3 linked regions of the Struthio camelus genome follow. The protein of the gene in region 1 purifies or fractionates together with the protein of each later gene. This does not show direct contact. Links are inferred from orthologs where the notes say so. Each region holds a gene or a part of one and is shown in the gene's direction. Other genes may lie near its edges.

Region 1 (10,226 bases):
GGGATCTCACCTGGTGATGGGGACCCACCTGGTGATGGGGAACCTCCTGGTGATGGGGATGGGATCTCACCTGGTGATGGGGACCCACCTGGTGGTGGGGAACCTCCTGGTGATGGGGATGGGATCCCACCTGGTGGTGGGGACCCACCTGGTGGTAGTGATGGGATCTCACCTAGTGATGGGGACCCACCTGGTGATGGGGAACCTCCTGGTGATGGGGATGGGATCCCACCTGGTGGTGGGGACCCACCTGGTGGTAGTGATGGGATCTCACCTAGTGATGGGGACCCACCTGGTGATGGGGAACCTCCTGGTGATGGGGATGGGATCCCACCTGGTGGTGGGGACCCTTCCCTAGTGAGAGTAATGGGGGGACCCCACTGGTGACAGGGACCCTCCCAGGTGCCACCTTACAGCTATAGGGCACTCCCTTAAGCCCCTATGTAGAGGGACACCTGGGACCTCCTCTAAGTCCTTGGAGGTCCCAGGTGCCCCCCTACAACTATGGGTCACCCTCTTAAGTCCTTGTGGGTCCCAGGTGTCCTCCTACACCTGTGGGTCACCCCCTTAAGGCCTTGGAGGTCCCAGGTGTCCTCCTACACCCATGGGTCACCCACTAATTCCTTGGAGGTCCCAGGTGTCCTCCTACACCCGTGGGTCACCCCCTAAGTCCTTGGAGGTCCCAGGTGTCCTCCTACACCCGTGGGTCACCCCCTAAGTCCTTGGAGGTCCCAGGTGTCCTCCTACACCCGTGGGTCACCCCCTAAGTCCTTGGAGGTCCCAGGTGTCCTCCTACACCCGTGGGTCACCCCCTAAGTCCTTGGAGGTCCCAGGTGTCCTCCTACACCCGTGGGTCACCCGCTAAGTCCTTGGAGGTCCCCTGCCCCCACCACCCCCCACCGTCGTCACCGAGGGATCCCCACCGCCGCCGTCCGCCTGTCACCGTCCGCTGTCCCCGCGTCACCCAGGGGTCCCCGCCGCCGTCACCGCGCCAGCCCCGGGGAGGGGTTGTCCCCCACCGCCGCCCCCCGGGTGTCCCCCACCACCGTCCGTCCCCCCACCCCCCCCCGTCACCGGGGCGTCCCCGACCGCCGTCCCGCCGCCGGCTGTGTCCCGTAAACACCCGCCCGGCTCCGACGGTGTCGGGTTCCCCCCCCCCCCGCCACCAAAACACCCCGCGGGCTAAAAATAACGAGGTGGCGACGGCGGTTCGGGGGGGGGATGGGGAGCCCGGACGCCTGGGCCCTCTCCCGTGTCCTTCCCCCCCCCCAGCCGTGACACCCGGCCCCATAGCGGGGGTGGGGGAGGGACCCAGGCGTCCGGGCCCCGTCCGCATGGGCGTTGTCACCCGGCGCTACAGGGTGACGGGACTGTTGTTGGGGTTGCTGGGGGGGGGTTGTCACCCCGGTTGCTATGGCTGGGACAGGTCACGGGTGCTGAGGGGGGGTCGTCACCGCGGTTGCTAGGGCAAGGACAGGTCATGGTTGCTATGGTGAGAATTGTCACCCTGGTTGCTAAGACAAAGGTAGATGAGGGTTGTTGTGGGTACGTTGTCACCCTGGTTGCCGTGGGGGGGATAGCGGTTGTCACGCGGTTGCTAGGAGGTGACGGGGGGCTGTTTGCCTGGTTGCTAAGAGGTGACAGGAACAGTGTTGTGGTTGCTATGGGGGGGTCGTCACCCTGGTTGCTATGGCAGGGATAAGGTGGCTGTTGCTATGGGAGGAGGGTCGTCACCCTGGTTGCTAGGGAGGGGATGAGGTGGTCACCTCGGTTGCTATGGGGAAGGTCAGGGGTCACCACCCCGGTCGCCATGGAGGAGGGGTCAGAGGTCACCACCCCGGTCGCCATGGAGGAGGGGTCAGAGGTCACCACCCCGGTCGCCATGGAGGGGTCAGGGGTCACCACCCCGGTCGCCATGGAGGAGGGGTCAGGGGTCGCCACCCCAGTCGCCATGGAGGGGTCAGGGGTCACCACCCTGGTCACCATGGAGGAGGGGTCAGGGGTCACCACCCCGGTCGCCATGGAGGAGGGGTCAGAGGTCACCACCCCGGTCGCCATGGGGAGGGGTCAGAGGTCACCACCCCGGTCGCCATGGAGGGGTCAGAGGTCACCACCCCGGTCACCATGGAGGAGGGGTCAGAGGTCACCACCCCGGTCGCCATGGAGGAGGGGTCAGAGGTCACCACCCCGGTCGCCATGGAGGGGTCAGGGGTCGTCACCCCGGTCACCATGGAGGAGGGGTCAGAGGTCACCACCCCGGTCGCCATGGAGGAGGGGTCAGGGGTCACCACCCCGGTCGCCATGGAGGGGTCAGAGGTCACCACCCTGGTCGCCATGGGGAGGGGTCAGAGGTCACCACCCCGGTCGCCATGGAGGAGGGGTCAGGGGTCGCCACCCTGGTCGCCATGGAGGGGTCAGGGGTCGTCACCCCGGTCGCCATGGAGGGGTCAGAGGTCACCACCCCGGTCGCCATGGAGGAGGGGTCAGGGGTCACCACCCTGGTCGCCATGGAGGAGGGGTCAGAGGTCACCACCCTGGTCGCCATGGAGGAGGGGTCAGAGGTCACCACCCCGGTCGCCATGGAGGGGTCAGAGGTCACCACCCTGGTCGCCATGGGGAGGGGTCAGAGGTCACCACCCCGGTCGCCATGGAGGAGGGGTCAGGGGTCACCACCCTGGTCGCCATGGAGGAGGGGTCAGAGGTCACCACCCCGGTCGCCATGGAGGGGTCAGAGGTCACCACCCTGGTCGCCATGGGGAGGGGTCAGAGGTCACCACCCCGGTCGCCATGGAGGAGGGGTCAGGGGTCGCCACCCTGGTCGCCATGGAGGGGTCAGGGGTCGTCACCCCGGTCGCCATGGAGGGGTCAGAGGTCACCACCCCGGTCGCCATGGAGGAGGGGTCAGGGGTCACCACCCTGGTCGCCATGGAGGAGGGGTCAGAGGTCACCACCCTGGTCGCCATGGAGGAGGGGTCAGAGGTCACCACCCCGGTCGCCATGGAGGGGTCAGAGGTCACCACCCTGGTCGCCATGGAGGAGGGGTCAGGGGTCACCACCCCGGTCGCCATGGAGGAGGGGTCAGGGGTCACCACCCTGGTCGCCATGGAGGGGTCAGGGGTCGCCACCCCGGTCGCCATGGGGAGGGGTCAGGGGTCGTCACCCCGGTCGCCATGGAGGGGTCAGGGGTCGTCACCCCGGTCGCCATGGAGGAGGGGTCAGAGGTCACCACCCCAGTCACCATGGAGGAGGGGTCAGAGGTCACCACCCCGGTCGCCATGGAGGAGGGGTCAGAGGTCACCACCCCGGTCGCCATGGAGGGGTCAGAGGTCACCACCCTGGTCGCCATGGAGGAGGGGTCAGGGGTCACCACCCCGGTCGCCATGGAGGAGGGGTCAGGGGTCACCACCCTGGTCGCCATGGAGGGGTCAGGGGTCGCCACCCCGGTCGCCATGGGGAGGGGTCAGGGGTCGTCACCCCGGTCGCCATGGAGGGGTCAGGGGTCGTCACCCCGGTCGCCATGGAGGAGGGGTCAGAGGTCACCACCCCAGTCACCATGGAGGAGGGGTCAGAGGTCACCACCCCGGTCGCCATGGAGGAGGGGTCAGAGGTCACCACCCTGGTCGCCATGGGGAGGGGTCAGAGGTCACCACCCTGGTCACCATGGAGGAGGGGTCAGGGGTCGCCACCCCGGTCGCCATGGAGGGGTCAGGGGTCACCACCCTGGTCACCATGGAGGAGGGGTCAGAGGTCACCACCCCGGTCGCCATGGAGGAGGTCAGGGGTCACCACCCCAGTCGCCATGGAGGAGGTCAGAGGTCACCACCCTGGTCGCCATGGAGGAGGGGTCAGGGGTCGTCACCCCGGTCACCATGGAGGAGGGGTCAGAGGTCACCACCCCGGTCGCCATGGCGCCCCCAGGGCCCCCCCCCTCCCGCCGGTTGCTAAGGAAGGGGTCTCCCGCCCTCAGGTTGCTATGGAGGGGGGGGCGGGCCCGTCGCCTTGACAACAGCGCGGCGGCGGCGGCAGCGGCCGGGGTGGGGGGGGTGGGGACTATATTGCCGGCAGCGGCGCGGCGGAGGGATCCGCTGCCTGGCGGCGGCGGTTCCGCGTCCCCAGCGGCGCGCGCGCGCGGGCCCCGCCCCCTCCCCCCCCCCCTCCTCCGCCCACAGCCGCCGGCGCCCGCAGCGAGTCCCGGCGGCGGCGGCGCGATCCGGGGGCCGCGGTGATGCGGCCGCGCAGGCGCAGAGCGCGCGCAGCGGCCAGGCCGGAGCAGGCGGAGGGAGCGCGAGCGCCCGGGGGGCCGGTGCGGCGGGTGCGGTCACGTGGGGGGGGGATGGGGATGGGGGTGGGGGGGGCGGTGTGGGGCCGGGGCCGTGCCGGGAAGGGGGCCTGGTGTGGGGCCGGGGGGGCCGGAGGTGCGGGGAGGGGCCTGGTGGGGGGCCGGGGGGGGCTGTGTGAGGCCTGGGGGGGCTGTGTGGGGCCGGGGGGGGCTGTGGGCGTGGGGAAGAGGCCTGGTGGGGGGCCGGGGGGGGCTGTGTGGGGCCGAGGGAGCTGTAAGGGGCCGGGGGGGGGCTGTGGGTGTGGGGAAGAGGCCTGGTGTGGGGCTGGGGGGGGATGTGTGGGGCTGGGGGGGGCTGGAGGTGCAGGGAGGGGCCTGTTGTTGGGCCGGGGGGGCTGTGTGGGGCCGGGGGGGGCTGTGGGTGTGGGGAAGGGGCCTGTTGTGGGGCTGGGGGGGCCGGAGGTGCGGAGAGGGGCCTGGTGTGAGGCTGTGTGGGGCCGGGGGTGCGGGGGGGGGCCTCTATGGGGCCGGGCGGGGGGCTGTGTGGGGCTGGGGGGGCCGGGAGTGCGGGGAGGGGCCTGGTGTGGGGCTGTGTGGGGTTAGGAGTGCAGGGAGGGGCCTGGTGTGGGGCTGGGGGGGGCTCTGTGGGGCTGGTGGGACTGTGGGTGTGGGGAAGGGGCCTGTTGTTGGGCCGGGGGGGCTGTAGGTTTGGGGAAGGGCCCTGTTGTGGGGCTGTGTGGGGTTAGGAGCGCGGGGAGGAGCCTGGTGTGGGGCTGGGGGGGCTCTGTGGGGCTGGGGGTGTGGGAAAAAGGGGTCCAGGGGGGCTGCGTGGGGCTGGGGGGGGGGGCGCCACTCAGTCACAGGGTTTTTTTGCCCGCAGTCAGCCCCAAAATGACGCAGTTCCTGCCCCCCAACCTGCTGGCCCTCTTCGCCCCCCGCGACCCCATCCCCTACCTGCCCCCCCTGGAGAAGCTGCCCCACGAGAAGCACCACAACCAGCCCTACAGCGGCATCGCCCCCTACATCCGCGAGTTCGAGGTGCGCCCGGCCCCGCGGCCCCCCGCCTGGCCCCCCTATACCACCCCCTATACCACCCCCTATATCACCCCCTATATCCCCCCCCCCGTCTCCGCAGGACCCTCGCGATGCCCCGCCGCCGACCCGCGCCGAGACGCGGGAGGAGCGCATGGAGCGCAAGGTAGGTGCCGCCCGCCCCGCCGTGGGGTTTTGGGGATCCCCCCTGCCCGCCGAGGGGCTGCGGAGCACCGTCGGCCCCCCAAAATCGCGGGATTTTGGGGATTCGGGTTGGGTTTTGGGGCTGCTTCACCTCGACGTCGCTCTCTGCGTGACCTGTGTGGGTTTTGGGGCTCCCCCCGTGCCTGTCATGGGGTTTTGGGGCTCCCCCCGTGCCCGCCGTGGGGTTTTGGGGTTCCCCCCGCCCGCCAAGGGGCCGCGGAGCACCGTCGGCCCCCCAGAATCGCGGGATTTTGGGGATTCGGGTTGGATTTTGGGGCTGCTTCACCTCGACATCGCTCTCTGCGTGACTTGTGTGGGTTTTGGGGCTCCCCCCGTGCCTGTCATGGGGTTTTGGGGCTCCCCCCGTGCCCGCCGTGGGGTTTTGGGGTTCCCCCCGCCCGCCGAGGGGCTGCGGAGCACCGTCGGCCCCCCAAAATCGCGGGATTTTGGGGATTCGGGTTGGATTTTGGGGCTGCTTCACCTCGACGTCGCTCTCTGCGTGACTTGTGTGGGTTTTGGGGCTCCCCCCGTGCCTTTCGTGGGGTTTTGGGGCTCCCCCCGTGCCCGCCGTGGGGTTTTGGGGTTCCCCCCGCCCGCCGAGGGGCCGCGGAGCACCGTCGGCCCCCCAAAATCGCGGGATTTTGGGGATTCGGGTTGGGTTTTGGGGCTGCTGCTTCTTGATGTCGCTCTCTGCGTGACCTGTGTGGGTTTTGGGGCTCCCCCCGTGCCCGCCGTGGGGTTTTGGGGCTCCCCCCGTGCCCGCCGAGGGGCCGCGGAGCACCGTCGGCCCCCCGAAATCGCGGGATTTTGGGGATTCGGGTTGGATTTTGGGGCTGCTTCACCTCGACGTCGCTCTCTGCGTGACCTGTGTGGGTTTTGGGGTCCGCCGTGCCCGCCGTGGGGCTCGGCCTTGGGGTTTTGGGCTCTCCCCACCCGCCGAGGGACCCCGAAGCACCACCGACCCCCAAAATCGCGGGGTTTGGAGGCTGGCGGGCGCCGCGCTCCCCTCTCCGACCCCCTCTCGCTCCCCGCAGAGACGCGAGAAGATCGAGCGGCGGCAGCAGGAGGTGGAAAACGAACTCAAGATGTGTAAGTGGCGCCGGGACAGACGGACGCTTCCGGCTTTTCCGTCGGGGGGGGGCAACCGGGAGCCGTTTTCCGACTGTTTTCCACCCTTTTTCCTGCCCCTAGGGGACCCCCACAACGACCCCAACGCTCAGGGAGACGCCTTCAAAACCCTTTTCGTGGCCAGAGTGGTGAGTGCGGGGCTGGGGGCTGCGAGGGGGCTGGGGAGGGGGCTCCGCCGTCGCCCCCCCCCCAGCCCGCGCTCTCCCCTCCCCGCAGAACTACGACACGACGGAGTCCAAGCTGAGACGCGAGTTCGAGGTCTACGGCCCCATCAAGCGGGTGAGGGAGCCGGGGGGGGGTCCTGGGGGGGCTCTGAGGTCCTCTGTGGCTCGCTGGGGGTCCTGGGGGGCAAGCGGGTTGTTCGGGCTGGGGCAGGCGGCTCGGTGGGGGTCCTGGGGGGCAAGCGGCTGATTCGGGACCAGGGCAGGGTGCTTGGTGGGGGTCCTGGGGGGCAAGCGGCTGATTCGGGACCAGGGCAGGGGGCTCGGTGGGAGTCTTGGGGGGCAAGTGGCTGATTCAGGACCAGGGCAGGGGGCTCGGTGGGGGTCCTGGGGGGCAAGTGGCTGATTCAGGACCAGGGCAGGGGGCTCGGTGGAGGTCCTGGGGGGGCAAGCGGCTAATTCGGGACCAGGGCAGGGGGCTCGGTGGGGGTCCTGGGGGGGTAAGCGGCTGATTCGGGACCAGGGCAGGGGGCTCGGTGGGGGTCCTGGGGGGCAAGCGGCTGATTCGGGACCAGGGCAGGGGGCTCGGTGGAGGTCCTGGGGGGGCAAGCGGCTAATTCGGGACCAGGGCAGGGGGCTTAATGGGGGTCCTGGGGGGCAAGCGACTGATTCGGGACCAGGGCAGGGGGCTCGGTGGGGGTCCTGGGGGGCAAGTGGCTGATTCAGGACCAGGGCAGGGGGCTCGGTGGGAGTCCTGGGGGGCAAGCAGCTGATTCGGGACCAGGGCAGGGGGCTCGGTGGGGGTCCTGGGGGCAAATGGCTGATTTGGGACCAGGGCAGGGGGCTCGGTGGGGGTCCTGGGGGGCAAGCGGCTGATTCGGGACCAGGGCAGGGGGCTCGGTGGAGGTCCTGGGGGGGCAAGCGGCTAATTCAGGACCAGGGCAGGGGGCTTAATGGGGGTCCTGGGGGGCAAGCGACTGATTCGGGACCAGGGCAGGGGGCTCGGTGGGGGTCCTGGGGGGCAAGTGGCTGATTCAGGACCAGGGCAGGGGGCTCGGTGGGAGTCCTGGGGGGCAAGCAGCTGATTCGGGACCAGGGCAGGGGGCTCGGTGGGGGTCCTGGGGGCAAATGGCTGATTTGGGACCAGGGCAGGGGGCTCGGTGGGGGTCCTGGGGGGCAAGCGGCTGATTCGGGACCAGGGCAGGGGGCTCAGTGGGGGTCCTGGGGGGCAAGTGGCTGATTCGGGACCAGGGCAGGGGGCTCGGTGGGGGTCCTGGGGGGCAAGCGGCTGATTCGGGACCAGGGCAGGGGGCTCAGTGGGGGTCCTGGGGGGCAAGCGGCTGATTCAGGACCGGGGCAGGGGGCTCAATGGGGGTCTTGGGGGGCAAGCGGCTGATTCGGGACCGGGTCAGGGGGCTCAGTGGGGGTCCCGGCGCGGAGGTGGGTGACAAACAGCTCGCTGGGGGTCCCGGGGTAGACAGACAACCCATCCCGCCCCCCCCCCAGATTTACATGGTGTACAACAAGCGCTCCGGCAAACCCCGCGGCTACGCCTTCATCGAGTACGAGCACGAGCGGGACATGCACTGTGAGTACCCCCCCCCGGCCCCCTTCCCCCTTTTTCCGCCTTCCCCCTTTCAACCGCACCGAAAACAAACAAAAAAAACCAAACCACACATTTAAAAAAAAAAAAAAAAGGGGTGGGGAAAAAACAACCCCAAAACCCGAGACAACCGAACCAACCAAACCAAAAACCAAACCAAAACCCGCATGTTTTCACGCCTGTCGATTGCGCCGTGCGGTCCCCGGCCCTCGGGTCCCTCGAGGACCCGGCTCGGCGCCGCAGGTAAGTACGCAGCGGGCACGGCGCGGGGTGGGGGGGGGGGCCAAAAAAAAAAAAGAAATACCCCCGGCACGGCTTCATTTTTCCCCACGGTTTTTCCTTTCCTCCTGCTTTTTGTTTCGCGGCTCCGCCGAGGAGACAGGCGGGGGCGAAGCGCAGCCCCCTGCGCCCCCTTCACTCGCTTCCCCCTCTTTTATTTCTTTTCAATCGTCCTCCGGCTTTTTTTTTTTTCCCCCCTTCTCGGGGAGGGGGGGGCCCGAAGCGCCTCCGGCCGGCGGGGCTGCTTTTTTTTTCCCCCACTATATTTAAAAAAAAAAAAAAGCAGGGTTATGGTATATAGCGAGATATATGTGTTTTGAAAGGAGCGGCGCTCTCGGGGACGCCTGTCGCGGGCGGCGTGTATTAACTCTGTGTTCTTGTTGTCACTGCAGCCACCTTTCTGATGGCTATTGCCACTGCTGGCTTGCAGCTGATCCTTATGCTTCCCCCTTACAACACCTCAGTGTATGGTTGGTATAAGGGTTTGTATGCTTGGTAAGACTACACCGTTCCCCACCCTACCCCGTCCCCGACGAACACCGCGACGCACACCCTTCAGGCAGGTAGGGGCTCCCTTAAGCTAACCCGCCGCCGAAGGAGGGGGGGGAGCACGGAGGAAAAAGAAAAAAGGGTGTTTTTTTTTTTCGCCCCCCCCCTTCCTCGACGCCGGGACACCGCCGTCCCGACGCCGGGTGGGTGTTAAACCCTCGTTTCGGTCATCCCGGCCGCTGTTGTTTCGCGGTTCGGAGAGGTGTTTGTCCTCCCCGCCCCCCCCCCCCTCCCAGCTGGGGTTATCCCGTTTGGGAATCCCGGTGGATTCGGTACGCTGCGGGGGGTGTCTCCTTGCCCCCCCCCCCCAAAACACCCGTTCGGCGGCGTTTAGCCCCCCCCCCCACCGCTGCCACCGCACACGCGTGTGGCTGGCGTGATGCAGCCGTGTCCCCGCCGGTGCGTGTGTGTGTCCCCCCCCCCCACATCCCGCACCCTCTCGGTCTCAGTCTCTGCTGAGCCGGGGGGGCCGCGTGGCCCCCACTTTGGGGGGGGGACAGGACCGAATTGGGGGAACCCCCCCCCCCATTGCCCCCTTGGAGCTGATTTTTTGGGGGGGGGGAAGGGGGGGCAGCAAGGCAGGGCCGGCCCCCACCACCAGGTTGTTCGTTAACTCGGCTCGTTAGCACCTTCCTGTCCCCCCCCACCCCGCATGGGGTGGGGGTGTGAGCGGAGGTGACGCGTTGCCCAAAATTATTGGGGGGGGGGGGGTAGGGTGCCAACGGCGCCCCACCCCCTTTGCCCCAAAAAATACAGCCGGCCGGGGACCCCCCCCGCCCCGAGCCGGGCTGTTTGTGTAGGGCCTACAGCGTCGCGCAGCTCCCCCCCCCCCCACAACGCCGATAGCATCCTTTGGGGCGGGGGGGGTGTCGGGATTTGGGGGGGGGGCCGTGGTGGGCCCCCCCCCCCAGGGTGGGGACAACCGGCCCCCGCGGTCCCCGGTGACCGCGGGCGAGGGTGGGGGGGTTGTTGGTGGCGGTGGGGTGACGAG
Region 2 (10,575 bases), on another chromosome or scaffold:
CAGCATCTACCTCCTATCTATAAATGAATCTTGGGGAGAATATTCTATCTGGAAAACTACTGTTTTCTTCCATTTGTTCTGAATACATGTCTCCAGTACTTTGAAAAATCAATAATGAAAAGTTTATAAATCTGAATAGGTTCAGCAAAGGGAATAACAACAAACTTTCTGTGTGATGAAGAGATAAAACTTCTACTGCTCTGCATACAGACAGGGGACGTTATTTGTACTGCTGGTTCTGTTTTGGACTATTCCTACCAGCTCTACTGTACATGGAAGGTAGCGCTAATCACTCCTGATGTGACTCAGTCAGGGTCACTCAGTCGCTAGGCCAGTCTTTAGGCCTCTCTTACTCAGCAGTACAGACGTTGCCCATGAATATAATGTCCCCTTGGACTCAAAGTTACTTCTAGAATCAGTAATGACATCAGTCTAATTATAGTGATACAAAACACATGATGCAAACCCTAGTCTAAACTACTGCTCCAAATGAGTCTACTACTGAAATACTGAATCAGTAATAAACATATGGCAGCAAAGCCTATGGTAGACAAATGACCAAGACACATTACATAGCCTAGAAGTACTTGCCAACTAAAAATAGGCCCAGACGCTGTGCTTGGATCCCTTTGGGCTGACTCTGGCATTCACGTGGAACAAAAATATCTTTGGATGCGTCCAAATTACATCCATACAAGTTCTCTTTCTTTTAGATAATTGTTTGTAAATTCGAAGGGGGCCACTCAAGCACATAAATTATGGCAAAGCTGGAAGATAACACTGCAGAAAAGAACACGCCCCGAAACGCTTTGTAGTGCCCAAGGACACGTATTAGCTGTGGAAAAAGAAATTCCAACACTCAGACTGTGAAGAAAAGATGAAACAGATGCAGGGCTCTGATCCAAAGCACAGTGAGGTCAGTGTGACTTGGGTAACACCTTCCTTCATGAAGAAGGAAAGCTGTATGAAGGAACAGAAAAGAGGGCACTGCTTTGCAAGCAAAGATGTCTGGCTGTTTGACTCACCTTTACTGTTTCAGTGCCTTCCAAAGCACCTTAATTATAAAATGAAATATGATCCATCTACATTTGGTGTTTTCATATACATTTATTTTTATATTTGATAAATACTGTTGGAATAATGATTCTTGAAAACTCTCTCACAACAGTCTTGACTGACAGCCCACTAAGTGCTGTGCCTCTTATAGCATAATTGACAACTTTCAGGTAGATGCGCTTTTAGTCTATGCAGTGTACAAAACGGAATGCACTTGGCCCACATCTGAAGAAAGTAAGATACAAGACAGTTGTCTTATTACTAGTTTTTTTTTTTAATAACATTAATGTGTTTGCATTTAAGAATAGAACTTTACATAGAAGCTTGCATAACTTCTGGATACAGTAGCCTCAAACCAATGAAAAAAATCTTTGCAAAACAATTCCTATGTCAAAAAGCACACACATACCTTAAAATATCTAGAATGGGAAGAGAATTAAAATACTGGTGAATTCTCTGCATTTTTAGTATGCTTAAAAAAAAAAAAATTAGCTTCTGAAACAGAAAAGGTTTCTGTCAAAGCCACCTTGCTCCAGAACTTAGGTGTTTCTAAACTTCCTTGGGTCTAAAGAGAACCCAGACACTGCCTCTGGCTGGCCAGGAATACCCTCACAACGTAGATGCTCTGCATAGCACCTTTCTGTACCTGCACTCCAACTGCTCAGTCCCTGGAAAAGCACCAGCAACTGGTGTCCATTTCAGTACACGTTCCAGAACTCCAGCCAAAACACTCAGTAAGGAAGAAAGGCATAAGAATGCAAAATAGTTTGTGACCACAACAACTTTAATTCAGAATTCAAAACAAAGTATACTCTTGAAGGAAAAGCCCCCCAAAATGTAGACATTTCTTTCCAAACTGATTTAGATTATGTTATCTCGAGAAGTTTTAATTCTCCTATTACATTTTTCTGTCTTCTGGAGTCCCTTTCTCTCTGCTGCAGGTTAGCTTACTCCATTGCACGACAGCAGATCCTGCTACATCCTCTATGAAAGCTTCCCCTTTTCTCCCCACCTTCAGGTCATCACAGATCAGAAGATGGTATCAGGGAAGCATCTCCATATATCTGTTCTGCCTCTTTGCTCTTCCATAAGTATCTGATATTGCCCATTGCTACACTCAAGCCAAGAGGCTCAACAGAGCTTTGGTCTAACCCAGCACTGCCATTCTTGTAATATCAGGGCTGCATTTATGCTGCCATAAGCTGAAACTCAGTACGCTTTTTGACCCTGCTCCATACATCTCTGTCACTGCTACAGGGATACCTGTTCCTCAAGTAAGTGGTATTCACACTAGCTATATCAGTCACCAGAACTCAGGCTACAAATCTACAAATACTACCTCTGACTACGAAACGACTCCCCGAAGCTCACTCCAAGACGGCCTACACGTAGGCTGGCAATGTGAGCAGTCGGCAAATTTGAACTGAAGCACAGCCCTGAGTTTGCGCTCAGCATATAACTACGGACATCCTCCTCAGGCTATCCCCTTACCCATGCACATGCCAAGCTCATCCTGGTTTCCTTTTATGTATTTAGTGATTTTTTATTTCAAATTTCTCATGGCCAGCACACAGAAGCACCAGTTTTCTTAGTGTCAAACCGTCCTTGAAAGATAGCACTCCAAAGCTCTTATTACCCCAAATGATGTGCTCGTTATCTAGTCTAAAAATAAAAGCCAGCAACGTGCTGCAGGCAGCAGCTCCCAGTTATGTGACTGTGTAGAGTACGATTAGCAAGTTACATGACTATGTGGGTAATAAGGTTCACAACATGAACGAGTTCCAGGAGTTGAACATTGCCCAGCTAGGTTCAAAAGGATATTCCTGCCACGCAGGAGGCTAATGATGTGCAGAGGGCTAAGCCAAGTATCAAGATAGTTTGCATGGATTAGGTAAGCATCTACAGTCTGTCAACTAAATACAGAGATGGAAAGAGAAGCGTTTGGAATTAATCTTGGGATAAGTAGATTAGACATGGTTTTTCTGTATTTTCTCCCTCCCTCTGCCTTAATAAACTTCTGAGAGAGGGCTGGGGAAGCAGGGGCTTGAGCATGTAAATAACTTCCATGCACTTTTATCTTAGCCTGGCTTGTGCTAAAAAGTGATTTCTAATTTGCAAACACAGACTCATTCCTGCAGGAGTGGCAATTCTTCCACTAGAAAGAATCCTTCTGGAACACACTAACAGTGTGTTCCAGACATACACTGTCAATAACATGACAGCACATTTTCATCAAAGCATGCCAAAGAATAACTACACTCAGCTGTATTTAGCTATATGCCCAATCTAGAAACTGGTAAACCAGGCATTGCTGTAGAAGAAATCTTCCAGGGCCAAGTATTACCCACGTAAACTTCTTGACAGCAGCAGGATGGTTGGGAAATGTACCTGAATCCAAGGATTTGTAGGAAACTTCTATCAAAATCTTTCATCTTGAATGGGTAGCCATAAATTTATAAGAACTAATCACTCTAAAGATTCAGAAAAGACAAAATATGGCCATTATCATTGAACACTAGACTCCAGATATACTGAGGTCTCCTTTCATTCAGCAATTTTTAAGGACAATTTTATATTCATAAAATATTTGTATTATTCATATTATTTCATACTGAAACCATTGGCTGTATATAGACTCCAAACATCATTGAAAATGTGGTCTAGACTACAGTAACATTTAGTTTTATTTCACAGTGGCCACTGGTGTAGATGGAGTCTTAGGGAATGCGGGGAGTTGGATTTATATCAAGTGGTTTCGAAACACCTGTGGCCAATGCATGTATAAGGTGGCCCTGCTACTCAAATTTAATTAACAGCTTATCATGTCTGGAGAAAGAAAACAGTTAATTCCCATGGCACATTGTTTCTATATTGCTGCCAGTAGTAACAGGTAACAATTGCTTAGCATAGTGAGGACTGAGGAACTCCTCAGCTGCTGAACAAAGCCAAGCAATGAGGCAACAGATGGTAGACTCACCACAGTCCTTGAAAAGGCTGTGCTATCCACAGCTTTCTGTACCCCTTCAGCTCTGCCGGCTACTCCAGGAGGTGGGTCACCGGGACTGTTAACCCTAACCTAACCTCCTTTTCTCCCCTTTTGGAAGAAACAGCTGCTAACCAAACACAATCGCTACACAGTGTGTTAATGGAAATATGGCGACAATTCCCAGTCCTTGGTCAGGTGAGCATAAAACAGAGCTATTTTGCCTCTTTCACTCAGTGCAGAATTCATACCATTCACTGATTTGTATCCATGTCAATAAAAATACTGATGGTTTCATTTTCACAGTTGGTGACCATAAACAGGGCTTTCCAGACAGCTTTTCCTTGACCTCCCCGCATGGGTGGATTCCCTTGTCCATTTCTGGTTTTCTTATACCTTCTTTTACATCCTAGGAAGGAAATCATACTCACAGTTGAATGGAAGGAAGCAAGAGCCACCAGTGAACAGGCTGAAAAAAACAAAGTGGAAAAGCAAGAGATTCATCTGCAGAATTTCCTGTCAAATAACAAGTGCTCCTAAAGATATGGCCTGATAAGTCTGAAGTAGAACAAACTTTAAAAAGAAAAGAAAGTTTTAGTTCATTTCCAGACACTTTTTTGTGATATAAAATACTATTGCCAAAATCTGATCACCTGTAAAGGTATATACTACATAACTCTGTGAAACAATAAACCGTCTCAAATCCTGAAGGTTCAGGATGTAGATTAACGTCACCTTGGGAGGCAACAGTATTGATCCCAAAACCCAATTTGGCAAGAGACAACTGTGATTAACAGAATATGTATTTGTATATGGAAAAAAAAAAAAAAAAAGCAAGGCTAGGCTGAAATATACTTTGTGCTTCAACTCTCAAGAGTAGCAGGTTTGCACCAGGTATGCTACAATTGACAACACTACCGACTTTAAAAAGACACCTTCTTTTTAGCTTTATTCCTTAGACTGGAAGTTCACTGGGGCAGAGTCAATTTTATGTAAGTATGCCTGACGGCTACTGCTGATTTGGTCCCCAGTCCTACCATAATACAAATAACACACCATAATTTTAAAGACCAGGCAGAGTTCTAACAATGCTAATGTGCTTTACTTGTCAAATACATTTCAAGTTTCAATACATAGATATGCATAAGCCAAATATTCAACAAAAACAAGAGCCTAGGTAAAAATCTAGTTCCGGGGCCTTAAAACTAGAAAAACACAGTTTATCATTTTTGTTTGGAGAATGGAAGTTAACTACACCACCTGTTTTACCACTGCTTTAAGTAACTACACTCGGTATCACCTTCAACAGGGTAATTTTTTTAAAAAGAAAAAAAACCGCTATCTCCCCCTTCGCTGAGACTGAAAGCAAATGAAGCCCTCTATGGTTGGAATGTCAGCACACTAGGGGCGGCACCTGCACGCCCGCGCAAGCCCCTGGCCTTCACCTTAAAATCTAAACGCGGGTTACAAAATTGAGCGGGCTCTGCCGTCGTTTACGGAGCGAAAATAGCCACTGGCACTGACTGAGGCGCTATAGGGCCAGGACCGCCGCCGAGCTCAGCACGGCCCTCCACCCTCGCCCCAGATGGGGTCGGGCCGCATGGCGGCAACCCTCAGCCGCGCTCAGGAGCGGCCCCGAGGTGCTGGGACACAGCACGACAAACTCCTGCCGTTAACGGCCGCTCTGCCGCGGCACAGCACGGAAGACACCCACCCGCCACAGCGCGCAGGCGCGCGGCAGGCCCCGCCCCCCAGCCAATCAGCGGCGCTCAGGCCCGTCGCCGACGGCTGCGGCGCTGTGCCTTCTCCCCGGCGGCCTGCGCGGGGTGCCGCGGGCATGGCGACGGTAGCGGCCGTTGGGCGCGTGCTGCGTCTGGGCGGCCGTTGGAGCGCGGCGGCGCGGGACGGGCCGCGCGCGCAGGTGAGAGGCGGGCCGGGCCGAGCACCTGGGCCCTACTTCGAGAAACCGGCTCCTTCGTGCTGTCTGCCCCCGCTCCGGGCCCTGGCGGGGGTGGGGAGCTGGCTTGTTGGGCCCGGGCTGCGGCAGCTCGCTCTCCCCTTCACACGGGGATGAGGGCAGGGCTGCCGAGACGAAGCGGGGGGAGGCGAGCCCGGTGCGGCGGGCGCGGGCCGGGCGGGAGCGGCCTGGCGAGGCGCCGCCGCGGGTTCGCGTCCCCGGCGCGGCTGGGCGGGGGCGGGGCGGCAGCGCCGAGCGCCTGGCGGGCACGGTGGGGTGGGGTGGGGGGGTGTTCCCCTAGACGGGGTGACACCGCTCTTCTCTCGGAGTGCCCCCTCCCAGTGGGGCAGCTGTCGGTCCGCAGTGGTGCCGAGTTTTTGTACTGCTCTCTGTCTCTGCGTGGCTTGGTTCAGCGGTGGCATTGTAGGGCATGGGCGGTTGGTGTAAACGGGGTTTAAACAGTTAGGAGCGTGCACAGAATTTGCGTTGGTTTAATGGGTGCGAGGATTTACAGTGTGGTTGCTGGCCTGCTATAGCTGTCTGCCCATATGCTTGCTTCTCGCACCAAAGTGAGGCGTTTGTGTCTCAGTAAGAGCGGGCCAAACTAAAACTTGTGTGCTTTCACCTCCCAGTAACTCATGAAATGTATTTACTGGGAAGAAAAGACATACTGTAAATACACATGTAAGTGTTTAGCACAGCTTTAAGCCAGCCACTTTAAAGTCAGTCCTACAGTTAACCTACTTATTTTTTCTTAATATTTCTATGTAGTTAGGGCCTGTTTTTATGTATGTTACTAGAATTAGGAAAGCTAATGTATAGAGCAAGGCCCTAAACATGTGTAAAAGTACTTTTGATTTTCCTGAATAAACAATAATTTTTAAGGTTGACTGTCTTGAATCGTGTTTGGTCAGCAGATAGCTAGATAATGCAATTTCCTGATTCCTGCAATGGAGAGAGAAATGTTTTGCACAGATGCAGCAGTTTCTCACTGAAGAGAATTATCTGCTTATTTTGAGAGACACCAGTCCTCAACAGAGTACCAATTCATTAAATAGCTTAACTGCTGTCAGTGTTGAAGTGATAATTGTGTCTGTGGTATTTGATATACCTATATATATTTAATTCAGTGATCAAAAAATGGATATAAAGGCAAGCTGGTAACATTTTGAAGTTACAAGGAAATTTAGGATAGTAAGGGCTGAAGAACTTTTCAGTGACTGACTATGGGGTAACAGAAGATAGGTCTGTTAGGTATGCGAAAGGTAATACTGGAAGGAGCAAATTGAACTATTTACTTTTTTTTTTCCTCCTTTTCTCCTCTAATATTAGATTTAACCCATTCAGGATAAAGACCTGGTGTCCATGTGAGTAGTTTCTTATGCAGCCGTCAGAAATTCACATGCTGAAGTTGTATGAGGAATGAAAAAGAGAATAAGGTTGAAAATGTAATGCTTGATGTAGTTTTCAATTTAAGCATCTTGTTTGGCTTTGGTTATCCTCTATCAAAGATAGGATTATGGCAGTAACTTAGTTTTCCTGGTCAGACCCCTGCTTGAATTTGAGCTGAAATCTTTTTCTATCATAATTGAGGAAACAGTATCAAAGCAGGTCTCGAAGAGGCCTTGAGAGATCATTCGTCTGCTTCTTCCATCCCCAAAAGGCAGGATCTATACTTAAGCCTGTAGCTATGTATGAATCTTCCTATTTTGTACGGTCTGTGAATTAAAGATATGAAAGGAACTAATGGGAGGCAGGGCCCAGGAAACTGACAGATATTTTTTTCATGTGAAATGCAGTTGACCTGTGGAACTGTTGTAAGGATGTTGTGGATGCCAATCACTTATGTGAGTACAAAAAAAATCAAACTCAATAAAATTCAATTGAGGACTCCTAAATTAAAAGATACCAGCATGTCTTTGAACTGAAGATTGTTGGAGACCAGGGAAGTGTCCTGGATAAACATCGCTACTTGTTTGTCCTGTCTTTGTGGCTGTTGTTGAGGACAAGGTACTAAGCTGACACACCTCTTTGACCTGCTGTGACCATTGCTTATGTTAAGTGCCTACCTGTCCTTCTTTATGATGCGTATCCTAAATATCCCTTGCTGGAATTTAACTCATTACTTCTCATCCATCTTAATGTGGAAAATAGTTTAATTTCTTGTTGACTTTTCCTGTGTTTGAAAACTTCTTGTATTGAGAGAGGAAATGGAAGAGAAACTCTGTAATTCAGTTTCCTCAGCTACGACTAAACAATAGGTCTTGTGTCCTATCCTTCTAATAAGCAAAGCACAATTAGACATCTAGCCCAATTTATAAAGAAAATAAATGATCTAACTCGGTTACTGTCTGTCATTTGTGTTGTGATTGCGTAGCATTCTTCTCATATGGTTCTCTGAAATCTTCTGCTGAGCTATTGCATTTGGCTGGGTCTGCTCCCTTATCTAAATCACTGTGGATGGTATATGTGCTGAGATCAGAAGGGTAGTACCACTTGTCACTGCTGACAGTATACCACCGGTATACCACAACTATATGCTTGGAAGTAGCTTTTTTGCCGTTGGTAACTAAACTAGAGTTGAAAAGCCTGTTAGTATTTCATAACTTGTGCCTCAAAACAACCAGATCTAAATCCTATTCCCCATTATGCAAGCCTGATGCTTGAAATGTGTCTCTGTGTTTAGAGCTATCTCATATTTCCATAGCATACAGTATAAACGAAACCTGAAATATTGGGTTTGGTTCAGTGTGCACGGAAAGTAGACTTTCTGTGTGGGAGAATACTAGCTTTGCAATTACCTCTCAGGAAATCGTTCAATTTGAGTAAAAGTTCCTTCTAATGAAATACTTTGGCATATCTGATAGGAAAAGTAACAGAAAATCACTTACCTTATTTTTTGACACCTCGTGATACTTTCTGTTGTGTTTTACAGTATGCTTATTAAAACATAACCCTGATATTGATCCACCTAATTAATTCATAGGCCAGCTGAAAACTGAGATCATGTAAATATTGTATTTAAGTTAATTAAAACACTTTTAAAAACAGTACTTTAGAAAGACAAAAGTTTAGGAAGTTTGAACAGTCTGTTTTTTTAGAAACTCAGGATTGTTCTGAGCATTTATGTTCTGTATGATATTTGCATAACGTATATGTTTTTTCTTGTATAGTGAATGACCAAAGGACTGCTGTTTGTCTGCCTAGTTCTGCAGCACTAGCTGCGTTCGTAATCTAAGCTGAGGGACGCAAGGCATCTCTAGTTCCGCGCTGGTGTGGTTCTACATACAGCTCTGCGTCTGCTGATTAAGTACTATCACAAAGATAACTTCTTAGCACACATCTAGTTGTGTGCTGCATGGTTTTGGAGAAGGAGTTGGTTGAAGTCTACTAAGCTTAGAGCATGGAAGCAGTGTGAAAAGATCTACAGATATATATATATATTTATATTTATATATACACATGCCACATAAGTTGACGTGTACTCCCATCTCTTTTGGTAGCTATGTGTCTTGACCTTGAGTCTTCCCCGTCTTTGTTTCCCTTTTCTTCCCAATCCAAAAGTACAGGAAGATCGATTCTTTGTTATTAGTGATATGCATTGGTTTTGCACCCATTTCACCCTACTAAAGCAACATTATTGTGACAGGAGTAAGCAAACAGGTCCTAAGTATTTCTCTTCTTGGGAAAAAAACTTGATATTGTCTGAAAGCAGCTAGTCTTTCTGACGCAATTTTTTACAGAAGCTGATTTTCTATAAATGTCGGAAAATCGGGCTTTGCCAAATTGTTTTATTACTAAGTAATGGGAGGAAGTGTTTAATACTTGGGAATTCTAGCCAGAAGTAAGGCTTTCCCTTCTCCCCCATGCTAGTGGAACAGTATTATTTCAGGAATACTGTTAATCTCCATTATTGTTTAAAAAATGGAGGGGCTGCTGTCTGCAATAATGCTTCATGAAATGTGTAGTAAGTAAGTGCAAACCTCTGTGGTTTCCTCTGGAAAGTAGAGGAGCGCACTTTCTTGTTCAACCGAAATGCCAGAAGCATTTGGCTCTGCTTTGCAGTTCTTGCCCATACCACCCATGAAATAGTACCTTTATCCCAGAAGAGGTACCCAATACAATAGATGTTAATTTGCATAAGAGGCTGTTTTCTAGTTATGAACAGTTTGTGTGTCCAGGGACTTTTGATTAGTGGTGAATTGAAACTAGGGAAGAATATGAATAGCTTGAGGGAAGGAGGACAAAAATGAGAAAATTACAATAGAAATTGACAACAATAAGCTGAAAGCAGTCTTTTTAAAGTATCCTGCTTAAAGCATAGTAGAGAGAAAGCAATTTTGGGCCAAGTAATAAGGAATCATATGTTCATTAACAAGAATTACAAGTAATTAGTTGCAATTAAGACAAGTAAGACAGAAGATGATTCTCTTTTCCTGGAGAGTATCTAGGAGAGAAGAACAGGGAATATGTAGAGATACCTTACTCTAAGGGAATCAGTAGAGATTTACTGGTAGAAACTGTGCAGTTTTAAGATTTTGCCTTTTTTTTTTTTCCTTTTATGTAACTATAAGCTCAC
Region 3 (10,055 bases), on another chromosome or scaffold:
GTTACTACAAAAATAACTTTTCTGATGGATTTAGACAAGTAAGTTGAACTTCTAACTATGGGGAAATATATTTAAACATTGCTGTGCATTGTAAATTCTTGTGGGTTTTATTTATTTATTTATTTATTTTTTTCTCCAGGATGCTATTGATCTCTTTCTTGGTAATTATTCAGTGGATGAAGTAGAACCTGCTAGTCCTCTACATGTCAAGAAAGATTGGAAGTTCTTAGCTGTGAGTATGGAGATTTGGCTCATGCTTGGAGAAACAGATGTAACCTTTTAGTTACTTGCTTCAGTAAGACTTAAGTAGAAATTGTCTGTTTAGTAATGGAGCGTCCCTATAATCCGGTTATGTTTCTATGATACCCGCTTATAGGACTAAACCCAGACTGTTCCCTTGACAGAAAATGGAGTGTCCTTGAGGTATTGAAAAACTGCTTGCTTTTTTTAAATCTGCTTCATCAAGTGGAAAGGGAGAAATTCTGCAGGAGGAAACAGTTGTTGATGGGGACTAGTAGAAGAAGCTTGTGAAGATCTCATCTTCTACTTCATACAGAAGCGTAGAGTGTAACATGAAGAAATCTTAATTTTTTTGCCGTCCTCCCCCGTGTATATCATGTAGTGAAATGGGGTGGGGATATTAGAGGTTGAATTGGTGGTTCATGTATTTATATTTAAAAAAAAAAAGTTCACCCCTCTTCTAATATAATAGAAGATACATTTTTAGTTCTGAACTTATTATTGAACACACCTTTACAAGTTTTAAGTCATCCAAAATTTTACACTTGTACTTCAATAATTGAAGTAACCTTATTGCAAGACAAGTAAATAGCTTTGCAGCACAACCAATCTTAAAGGATATTAAGTAATACATGTTCTATTATATCATGTAATTATTCTTTTTCTCTTTCTTCAGTTACCGATTATTATGGTGGTTGCTTTCTCTATGTGCATTATTTGTTTGCTAATGGCTGGTAAGTCACTATTTAGTTTGACTTCACAAAATTAGCTTGCTTGTATATTGTTTTTTGTTTGTTTCTTTTAATAAATGGGTGTTAGAAACTATTTAGTATATATTTGCTTGCCTCTCAGTCATACTAAAAGGTCTCCAAGCATGGCTCTGGAGACTGAGGGTCAGCACTACGTCATTAATGTGAAAAACCTGAGGTACTATAGAAAATGAAGCTAAAATTAGTAGAAGTAATTTAGGTGTCATTTAATTGCCCCAACATTTAGTCGGTTGCACTTCAGTTGGATGTCTGGCTTTGCTATAGGCTGGATGAATCCCTTCACAAATACCTACCTAATTCTGAGCAGAAAGTCAATCCAGATAAGGCAGATGTTGGTGTAAGCTTGGTCTGAAAGAAGCCCCCCTTGATCTAAATCCATGTGACAAATTGTGGAGTTCTCGCCTTTTGCCTTTGCCTTGAATTTTATAACATGAGTGCCAATGGAGTACTTGACTCCGTGACCTCTGTAGCTGTGTTTAAAGTGCTGTTGGAGTTGTGTGTGGCAAACAGCAGAATGCTAGCTTAAGAACAAATAATTGTGGCTTGTCAACCTCTAGGAGAGGAGGTATGACATAGTATAACAAAAGACCCTAGTACCTGTGGACGTGCTTTCAACTTCAACGTTTGATGGCAGATCTCTGTGGGAGGGCTTGGGCAACTATTTTGCTTTTGTATTAAAATACTCTTATAGGTAATGAGAGATAATGACATGAAGTGTTTATCGACTCTCAACAGGTGATACATGGACTGAGACATTGGCCTATGTACTGTTCTGGGGAAGTGCAAGCTTTGGAACTTTTGCTATCATCCTTTACAACGGCAAGGATTTTGTAGATGCACCCAAACTGGTCCAGAAAGAGAAGATGGACTGAATTTGTGTGTGTGGAAAGCGGCTTGGTACAGAGGATTCCTCAAGCCACACCTGGAGTCTCTACTGACCTGCTTTCCACACCAAATAGTGGTCTTTTTAACGTTCATCCTTGGCAGCACGGGGAGAAAGTGAATCGTCGTCTTTCGTGGTAGCTTTCAGCTGAGATCTGACTCTACAGTCTTGGTTGCAGTGATCTTTGGAATGTTGCATTAGTGGAGGAGGCTCCACCCTTACCAAGATAATTCAAAGATGAAAGCCAGCTTTGTGGCGTCTGGAGTGTTACAAGATATAAATGGACTGCGTAAGTTCGCAGTCCACCTGGGTAGTCTCATCTGAATTTTTGATCTCTGGTTTGACAGGAGAGAGCCCTCATTCTGTTCATGTGTCAACCTATCCAGGTGTTGGAGTATTATTAATAGAGGGGTCTAATCATGTTCTTTGAGCAATATGGCTTAATAGCAGTAACTTGTTCTTAGATTTACAGCTGGATTACATTTGTTAAAGTCCACGTTAAGGAGTCTTTTTGTGCATATTTATGTATTTTTCACTAAACATAAAGGATTGTTGAATCCTAATGCTTCTCCTCTAAAATAAGCTTTGCACCCTGTCTTATCTAGGACTGATGCAATATTCTACTAATCATTGTTTGGGTGAAAGGACAGTGTATTTGGATGCTTCTGAAATTGCAAATGTCTTGCACTGTTTCAATACTGCAGTCTTTAGATGATGATTCATTAGTTAGTGAGTTAAAATATATAACCTTCTTTCTAAAGACGTAAATGAAATCAAAGAATGTAGACTCCTCTGCAGTGTTTATTGAACCCTCCTTATGCTAAAGGTCCAAAGTACACCATTATTTTAAGAACGGTCACAAGATTAAAAAAAATGAACTTCATATTATTTTGCTAGTCAGCTGCTTCTATATTTTTTGGTTATGTTAGAATAATTTATGGAAGAAGGAGTAACAACCTGAGGAGAAAAGCGTTAGGCAAAACCCCATGTTTGCACTTGGGAGCAACAGCTTGCTTTTCGTGCATGATGTTGTAACACACTCTTAAAAACAAAAACAAGAAACTAAGCTACAAAATAACTTGTGCTGGTTAACCATGAATGTGTGTCTTTAAACTTAGTGCTTCCAAGCTGTATAAAAATAAGTAATCCTAATCAAGGACCAATTTTAAACTATTTTGTCACTTATTTTATATGGTTTGTTCAAAACCAGACGTGAAACTTGCTTTGGGCGCTGTGCATTGTTTAATATTTCCTGTAAGTACAGCTGTATATTCGGATTGCGGTTATAAAGCTTAAATGGGGAGAAGGGAGAAACATGTAGAATACTAGGGCTAGCACAGTTCTCACTGTTGAAGCGAGAACACAAAACACTGATACTGCAGTGTTTCATTGTGTTATGACTGAAAATATGTACAGATTTTTGCAATTGTTAACTGTTCATTTTAACCTTGAATGTTTCTGGAGGCCTCTCTGGGTTTTGTTTAAAGGTAATCTGTTCATAAGCACTAGTAATTGCAAAGTATCTGTTTGCTTTTAGATGCTGTAATGGAAATACCAGTTGAGACAGTTAACTGGAAAATCCTCTAACTTAAAATTTTCAAACATGAACTCCATAATGGATATAAAGTATAAGAACATCATAGACTATCTAAAAGTACTGTTTTGGGGGGTTTGGGTATTTTTTCTTTTTTAAATGGCTCACTGGCAGGTGGCATTTGAAACTTGGTTCAGTTGTCTTGCAGTCTGTAACTAGATATCTGCGTCTTCGGTGAAGAACCCGTTGCAACAAAGACCAAACTTGAATTGCTAGTATAAACACGTTGTAAGACATAGACTAACGTAGGTTTTCAAAGTTGGAGGGCATCTGTATTTCAGTGCTTTGCAAAGAGTCTGTATTTCTAAAGTCACAAATGGTGTACTCATAAATGACAATAAAATGTCCAACTTTTCTATATACTGTCAGTTGTGTTTTGTGCTTTGAGTGGACTTTTTCCAAATGGTTCAAGGTCTTTTTCCACCAGAAAGATGCTTCCGATTTGTTGCGGTTCATAGCAGGTAAATATCCTGCTGTTTCTGTGCTTAAATATTGACGATCTTGCACTGAGCACCAAGCATTTTCATTAGCATCGTGTTCTGCTCTTCCGTGCCAATTCTGGATCTTACATTTCTGAGAACTGTTACGGGTGGATTTTTCTTGAGATTAAGCGCAAGCCTCACCTCTTCTCAGTGTTCAAGGCTCTCGTACTTTCCCAACACTAGTTTGGTGGGTTGTTTTGTTGTATTGGGTTGTTTTTTTTTTTGTGTGGACAATAATAGCCCCTCAAAGTGAAAATTCAAGTCACTATCCTTTTTCCTTCCCTCACTGCAGATAGGCATGAGGGTTTTTTTTTTTAAGTCTGTTTTTTCATGCTTGTGTTGCAGTTTGCTAGAGCAACCCGCTGGCCTGTTGGAAACAGTCAAATGCACTTGTCTAAATGCAGAGGTTCTGAACAAGCTGTTTCTGAATGACTAATGAAATAATAGTTTGAGTGTAGTGTTGACATTTTAAATAGGATCAAGCTTCACTAGATGACTAGGTGTGCACAATCATATAAGATGATTGCTAGTAAAATTGTATACTGGTATAACAAAATTGGTCCTGAAGCCATTAGTTGAAAGAACTTGTTTTTTTTTCTTTTTAAACTTTGTCATCTTTTGTGGGGGGAGAGGGGTAGACTTTTAAGTTTAGAGCAGCTTTACTGGGAAGCAACTTGGGAAAATACTGAAATAATTGCCTGAAAGGTAAGGCAAATGTAGTGGCAGAGCTCCGTGCCCTACAAGTAGGGTTGGTTGGCCCAGAACAAAATGTGAAGTTCAGCAGCATTTGTTTGTGAATCTACTTCCATCTGGCTCTTTTTTTTTTTTAAATCTAATTCTTTTTTTCTTCATATTTACACTCTTGTTTCTTGTTTCTTTTCTCCCCCTGTCATTAAACTGTTAGGCAAAAAAGGAAAATCAAGAAAAGGAAAGAAACGGCCCTTGCTCTTTCCTGGCTTCCCTGTGGTGAAATCCTACCACCCAGCATAACCTTCCCTTGCCCCCCAGCTGCTCCTTAGGGCCTGCGTCATATAATGTTGCATAAACAGTCACTTTATGGGAGCAAACACTTTATATAAAAATGTATTTTTACCTCAACCCTCAGGTTTTTGCTGAGGGTGGTGTGTGTGTGATTTTTTTTTTTTTTTAATATCGTGGCAGTGGGTACTGCATAGAGGGAAAAATCTCGAGCTGTGCTTCGAGCCCTGTTACCGGCTGGTTTGGAAAAGACTGTTATCCTGGCCTCTTTTAATGTTACAAAAATAATAATCATTATTTAAGCCCGCCCGCCCGCTCCCTGCCTTCGCGCCCCTGCGCACTGCGCATGCGCTGACCCCCCTCCCCCGCTGGGGGATGGGGCGGGGCCGCCCCTTCCGGCGCCTGCGCGGCGCCGCTTCCGCTCATTCATTCTCCTCGGCGGCTGCCGCTTCCTGGCGCCAGTGGCGGCGCGGCCTGCTCGCAGCAGCCTCCGCCGCGCCCGCCGCCCGGGCCCTCCCGCCCAGGGCCTCTCCTCTGCCCCGCGCGGCGGCCGCCGCTGCGTGCTGAAGGCGCCGCCCGGCCGCCATGAAGCTCGTCAGGTGAGCGGATGGAGGCGGATGGAGGCGGCCGGGCCTGGCGGCGGAGGCGGGGAAGCGGCCGCGCTCGCGCCGGGCCGCGCTAACGGTCGCCGCGCTAACGGTCGCCTCGCGGGCGCCCCTCCCCCCGCCGGGCGGCGGCTCCGCCGTGACCTGAATGCCGGGGGTGGGGTGGGGGGAGGCTGGAGTGCTCAGAAAGCCCTGATTTTTGGGGGGGAAAGCCAGAAATTATTTTCTGGCGGTACTGAGAAGCGCTGAAACGTTTCCTTCTTTGTTCCGGATAAGCGCAGTATCCGGGGCAGGGTGCTGAAGTCGGTAGCAGCTGTGCGGTGTCCCGGCTCCTCCCGGTCGGGTAGGGGTCGCGCCTCGTCTGGTTTCTTGTGTCTTGCGCTCGTGCAGTGCCTTAATAAACGTTTTCGGTAGAACCCGCGAGATCTGGAAGCGTTTTCTTGGTAAACGTGAGAGGTGTGGGCCCTGACGTGCATCAGTGTTCTCTAGTAGAGAATGTTATGTGATAACCCATGTTGGCTTTATGTGGGAGTAACAAAAAAACAAAAAAAATACCTTTTTTAATTTCTAGGTTTCTCATGAAACTCAGTCATGAGACTGTGACCATTGAGCTGAAGAATGGGACGCAGGTGCATGGAACTATCACAGGTATGACATGGTGGTAAAGACTAGAGCAAAATACCGGCTGTTCCTTTTCTGCGCATAATTGGCAATTGTGGTTTGGCTTGGGCTTTTTTGTTTTGTACTCTTTCTTATGATGACCCTCTAGTTCGTATCCTTTTACGAGTATCAAGTGTGTTTTTTGCAGAAGAGTCTGGGCGTTTGCAGGAGCTACTAAAAATACAGTGAAGAGCTTTGACCAGTCGGCTTACCACACACCACCATCATCTTTGGCCTGGTATCAGGGCCAGTTCACCTGCAGTCAAACTTACAAACTATATCAACAGCGTAATATGCCATCTGTTCATAAGCACTGCTGGGAGATAGTGGATTGATTGTAGTACTTATTGGGAGCCTCCAAGTCGGATGGTCCTGTGGGCTCTGCTTACAAGTAGGCTTAGGGGAAAACGAAGTAAACCTACGCAGACTGTTTTGTGGAGCAAATCTGATGCAAGAATGATCTAGTCTTAGAATTTTAGCAGCATGATAATGTTGGTGAGCTAATTCTAGCTCCCTATCAAACTGGTATACTATAGCCATGTAAGAACTTTATAGTAGAGCCACCAGCAGAGGATTTCTTTGTGTCTGTAGTAGGTAAATGGCAAATGTTAAGCATTCACGTAGTCTTCAGTCAGTCCAAGTACGCTGTAGATGATTTTAATCTAGAAGGAAATTATTTATTTTGAGTGTAGCTTTGCTCTGTTTAAGGTGACTTTATATAGGAATGCATCTTTAGGTACGCTTGCATTAATTTCCTGAAACTGATTTGAAAACGCACAGCTTGATGAGGGATACAGGGCAGAGAGGAATCCTGGTGTAAAGAATCTGGTTCGTAGCTGTTGCCAATGATTTATCATGTAATAATCTAAGTTTGTGAACGTTAATGTCCAGGGAGGGGTAAATCTATAAAACGTGCTAGTTTATAAAATGAATGCGTTCCTTTATGTCACCGAACTGAAAGTTGTGGGGTAAGCCTTTCAAACTCAGCTTCCTATATATTTAAAAACGCATGGACTGTTTTGTTTTTTTCATAATGTCAGAGACTGGTGTTGCTCTGAGAATATTTGTGTTAGAATTACTTCAGAGGCAATCAGGTCTATGGGGTGTGCTGTTGTTAAAGCAAACCCTTGCGGATAAGTTGAGGAACGTTCTTGGTCTCCTTTGCACCCTAGACTGCTTTTAGAAGCTCTTCTGCCCTGACGTTATTTGTAGCAAAGTTCACGCTTGGCAGAGCTGTATTCCTGGCGATTGCTGAAGTTCCTTTTTGGTCAGTAGCAATGTGCTGAAGTTTGGCAGGGTTAAAATCTGTTGAACGTGGCATTATTCTGCTGCCAGGTCTATCAGCTTTGATTAGCACCTGAATGTACCATCTTGATACTCTGATTGCAGCATGCTCTATTGAACCCGACTAGGTGGGAAATGAAGAACGTCTCCGTCTGACCTTGGTGCTCTTGCAGGCTTAGTTATTGAGCAAAGCCTTGTGTCATGCTAAGAATCTGTAAAAACTTGGAATGGAACCCATGTTTCTAAAATGACACTCTTCCCTTTACACTGCTGCATGAGCCACGTTAATATTTGCTGTGACATCTGCAAAATGTAGTATCTCCTGGTGTATCAGGAGATGCTTGGCCAGAGCAAGCATGCTGAAGGGGCGAGCTTTATGCTACGCATACGTTACACAAATAAGGGGACAGGTCAGGTGGATTACAGATGTTGGAGAACTGTTTTATTTAAGTAAAATCTAGGATTGGGGTGGGGGGATGGAAGAAATACTTGGAGGTCACAAGTGCATTTTTTGTGAACTTTGGAGCTCTGCTAAGCTCCTTTGGTGATTAGGCTGAATTCATAAAATTATGAAACCATTTAAAGGCATAAGCACAGAACAGTGGTCCTATTTCTGGTCTGCTACTCGTTTACATTATTTGCCTTGATGAAGCACTTGTCTTTCAGTTTTATCTTTCCATATTTTTGAAATGAGACAATAGTTGCTTTTACCTCACAGAGCTGTTTGTTCACACACTTTGAATACATTAAAATTTTGCTCATGTGGGGTGCCTTGTCACTGAATTAGCGGATTTTTTGTAAATTATAATTTCTACCTTTTGTCTGAATTTTCTGTTCTGAAAAAATTACTCTCATTTTGATCTTAATTAGAGATCTAATTAAGATCTCTCTTTGATTGTAGTTAGAGATCAAATCCCATGCAAGGCTTCTGATGTGCAAAACCAAAATTAATGTAGGAATTGAGCGATGGTGCTTCTTACGGCTGTTACTCAGTAGATGCACCCAACTGAGATTTTTTTTCAGTTTTGGATGATGCATGTTACTGTGGATACAGTACCGGTTCCATGGGAGAGCAAACAATTATTGTACGTCAGCTCTTCAGCACTGAGTTAGTAACCACAGTGCTTTTCCCTTACCATCGTGTATTTTACATACTTTTAAAGAAGACAGTACACAAGTATAAGATGTATTTTATCAGAAAATGAATGATGCTTTGACAGCTGGACTTCTTTCAAAGCTTACAGAAAGAGGAAATGATCAGTTTCTTCCTCGTCAGAGGTTTTTTTGCCTTTTTTAAAGTAAAAAGGCTAATATTAGACTTCTGTAATACGTGGTAGTTTGTTTATTGCGCAAAGGAACCATTTTAATCATTTACAAAACTGCTATGCCTGTCTTAAATCTAGATAAAGATTTCTAATGATATTGTACAGATAGCAGTAAATGGTTCTTCCATCAAAAAATGTGCGGTGAGTTGTTGAGGACAGCTACTCGTAAATGAGCCAGCATAATTTAAGAGACAAAAGACATGTGTTTACATTCACTTGGATGCTTAATTAGTGAATGGCATAGATCCAGAAGTGAGTGTTAATGAACAGCATACATCTAGAAGCAGGTATATACTTTAAAAAACAGCTAGTTGTACCAAGAGCGATCATCTTGTATACTTTCATCCCTGAAATGAGACTTTTATTGTTTCAGGAGTGGATGTCAGTATGAATACGCATCTCAAAGCGGTGAAAATGACGCTGAAGAACAGAGAGCCTGTACAGCTGGAGACCCTGAGTATTCGAGGGAATAACATTCGCTACTTCATTCTGCCAGACAGTTTGCCTCTGGATACCTTGCTAGTGGATGTTGAACCAAAAGTCAAATCCAAGAAAAGAGAAGCAGGTTAGTTTGTGATTCCCTAGTCTCCTTTGTTTGTTCCGCGCTACACAACAGTGGTTTTGGCTGGCTTCGGGTTAGCGTATGCGTTTTAGTACTTTGACTCTGCAGTCATCCTGTAAAACATCTAATTAGAATATTTTAATTTCTGCATTTGGCAGCTAGTTCTTTCATCTTTATTTGATGGTTTGATATGGATGCTGCTAAGTCTGCTTTCTTAGCATCTATAAAATTTCCTTTTGTGTGAAATGATGTATATAGCTCATCATATGTCTGCATTTAAAAAAAAAAAAAAAAAAGGCAAATATTTTTAAGCTTGAGGAAATCTTAATCTATCACATTTTCAGAGGTGGCACCAAAAAGACTTGCGTTTCCTCCTCTCAAAATATCTGCTACATTTCTCTACTTTTGTATGGGGAACTTCATATAGCTTAATAAGAAAGTACCAAATGGCACCTTGAACAGTGCTGGTTGCTTAGTTGAAATATTGCTTGGTAAGTGGATAAAAATAAACTGCAGGATAACTGAATTTGAGGGAATTGAGAATCGCAGCAAGTCTACGCTATATTCCTATGAGTAGTTTTCCAGCATTCCACTGTATGTGGTCTTCCTGGGAATTGTATTTAGTTTTTCTCCAAAGGCTGTTGACCAAAACCCTTTCCTTACAAACATAAG

What was found. Proteins that work in one complex are often made in the same cells at the same time.
Region 2: the proteins of SNRNP70 (region 1) and MRPS9 purify together in Homo sapiens (affinity purification with mass spectrometry; 3 studies listed by BioGRID and IntAct, counting the BioPlex papers as one, with this or other methods). This does not show direct contact. The link is inferred for Struthio camelus from reciprocal best matches to the Homo sapiens genes SNRNP70 and MRPS9.
Region 3: the proteins of SNRNP70 (region 1) and SNRPD1 purify together in Homo sapiens (affinity purification with mass spectrometry; 6 studies listed by BioGRID and IntAct, counting the BioPlex papers as one, with this or other methods). This does not show direct contact. The link is inferred for Struthio camelus from reciprocal best matches to the Homo sapiens genes SNRNP70 and SNRPD1.

Annotation. Positions count from the first base shown.
Region 1 is NW_027182627.1:6,793-17,018, reverse strand, and holds the start of SNRNP70 (U1 small nuclear ribonucleoprotein 70 kDa), read left to right. Parts: upstream 1-4,188; 5' UTR 4,189-4,312; intron 4,313-5,159; 5' UTR 5,160-5,170; coding exon 5,171-5,317; intron 5,318-5,414; coding exon 5,415-5,477; intron 5,478-6,549; coding exon 6,550-6,604; intron 6,605-6,706; coding exon 6,707-6,771; intron 6,772-6,859; coding exon 6,860-6,922; intron 6,923-8,310; coding exon 8,311-8,392; intron 8,393-10,226. UniProt on the Homo sapiens protein: Component of the spliceosomal U1 snRNP, which is essential for recognition of the pre-mRNA 5' splice-site and the subsequent assembly of the spliceosome. SNRNP70 binds to the loop I region of U1-snRNA.
Region 2 is NC_090942.1:154,008,439-154,019,013, forward strand, and holds the start of MRPS9 (small ribosomal subunit protein uS9m), read left to right. Parts: upstream 1-5,827; 5' UTR 5,828-5,876; coding exon 5,877-5,960; intron 5,961-7,795; coding exon 7,796-7,843; intron 7,844-10,575.
Region 3 is NC_090943.1:50,584,090-50,594,144, reverse strand, and holds the start of SNRPD1 (small nuclear ribonucleoprotein Sm D1), read left to right. Parts: upstream 1-5,307; 5' UTR 5,308-5,532; coding exon 5,533-5,546; intron 5,547-6,123; coding exon 6,124-6,200; intron 6,201-9,194; coding exon 9,195-9,386; intron 9,387-10,055. Other genes in the region: SACM1L (phosphatidylinositol-3-phosphatase SAC1), read left to right, coding at 1-38, 140-232, 917-974, 1,746-1,882. UniProt on the Homo sapiens protein: Plays a role in pre-mRNA splicing as a core component of the spliceosomal U1, U2, U4 and U5 small nuclear ribonucleoproteins (snRNPs), the building blocks of the spliceosome.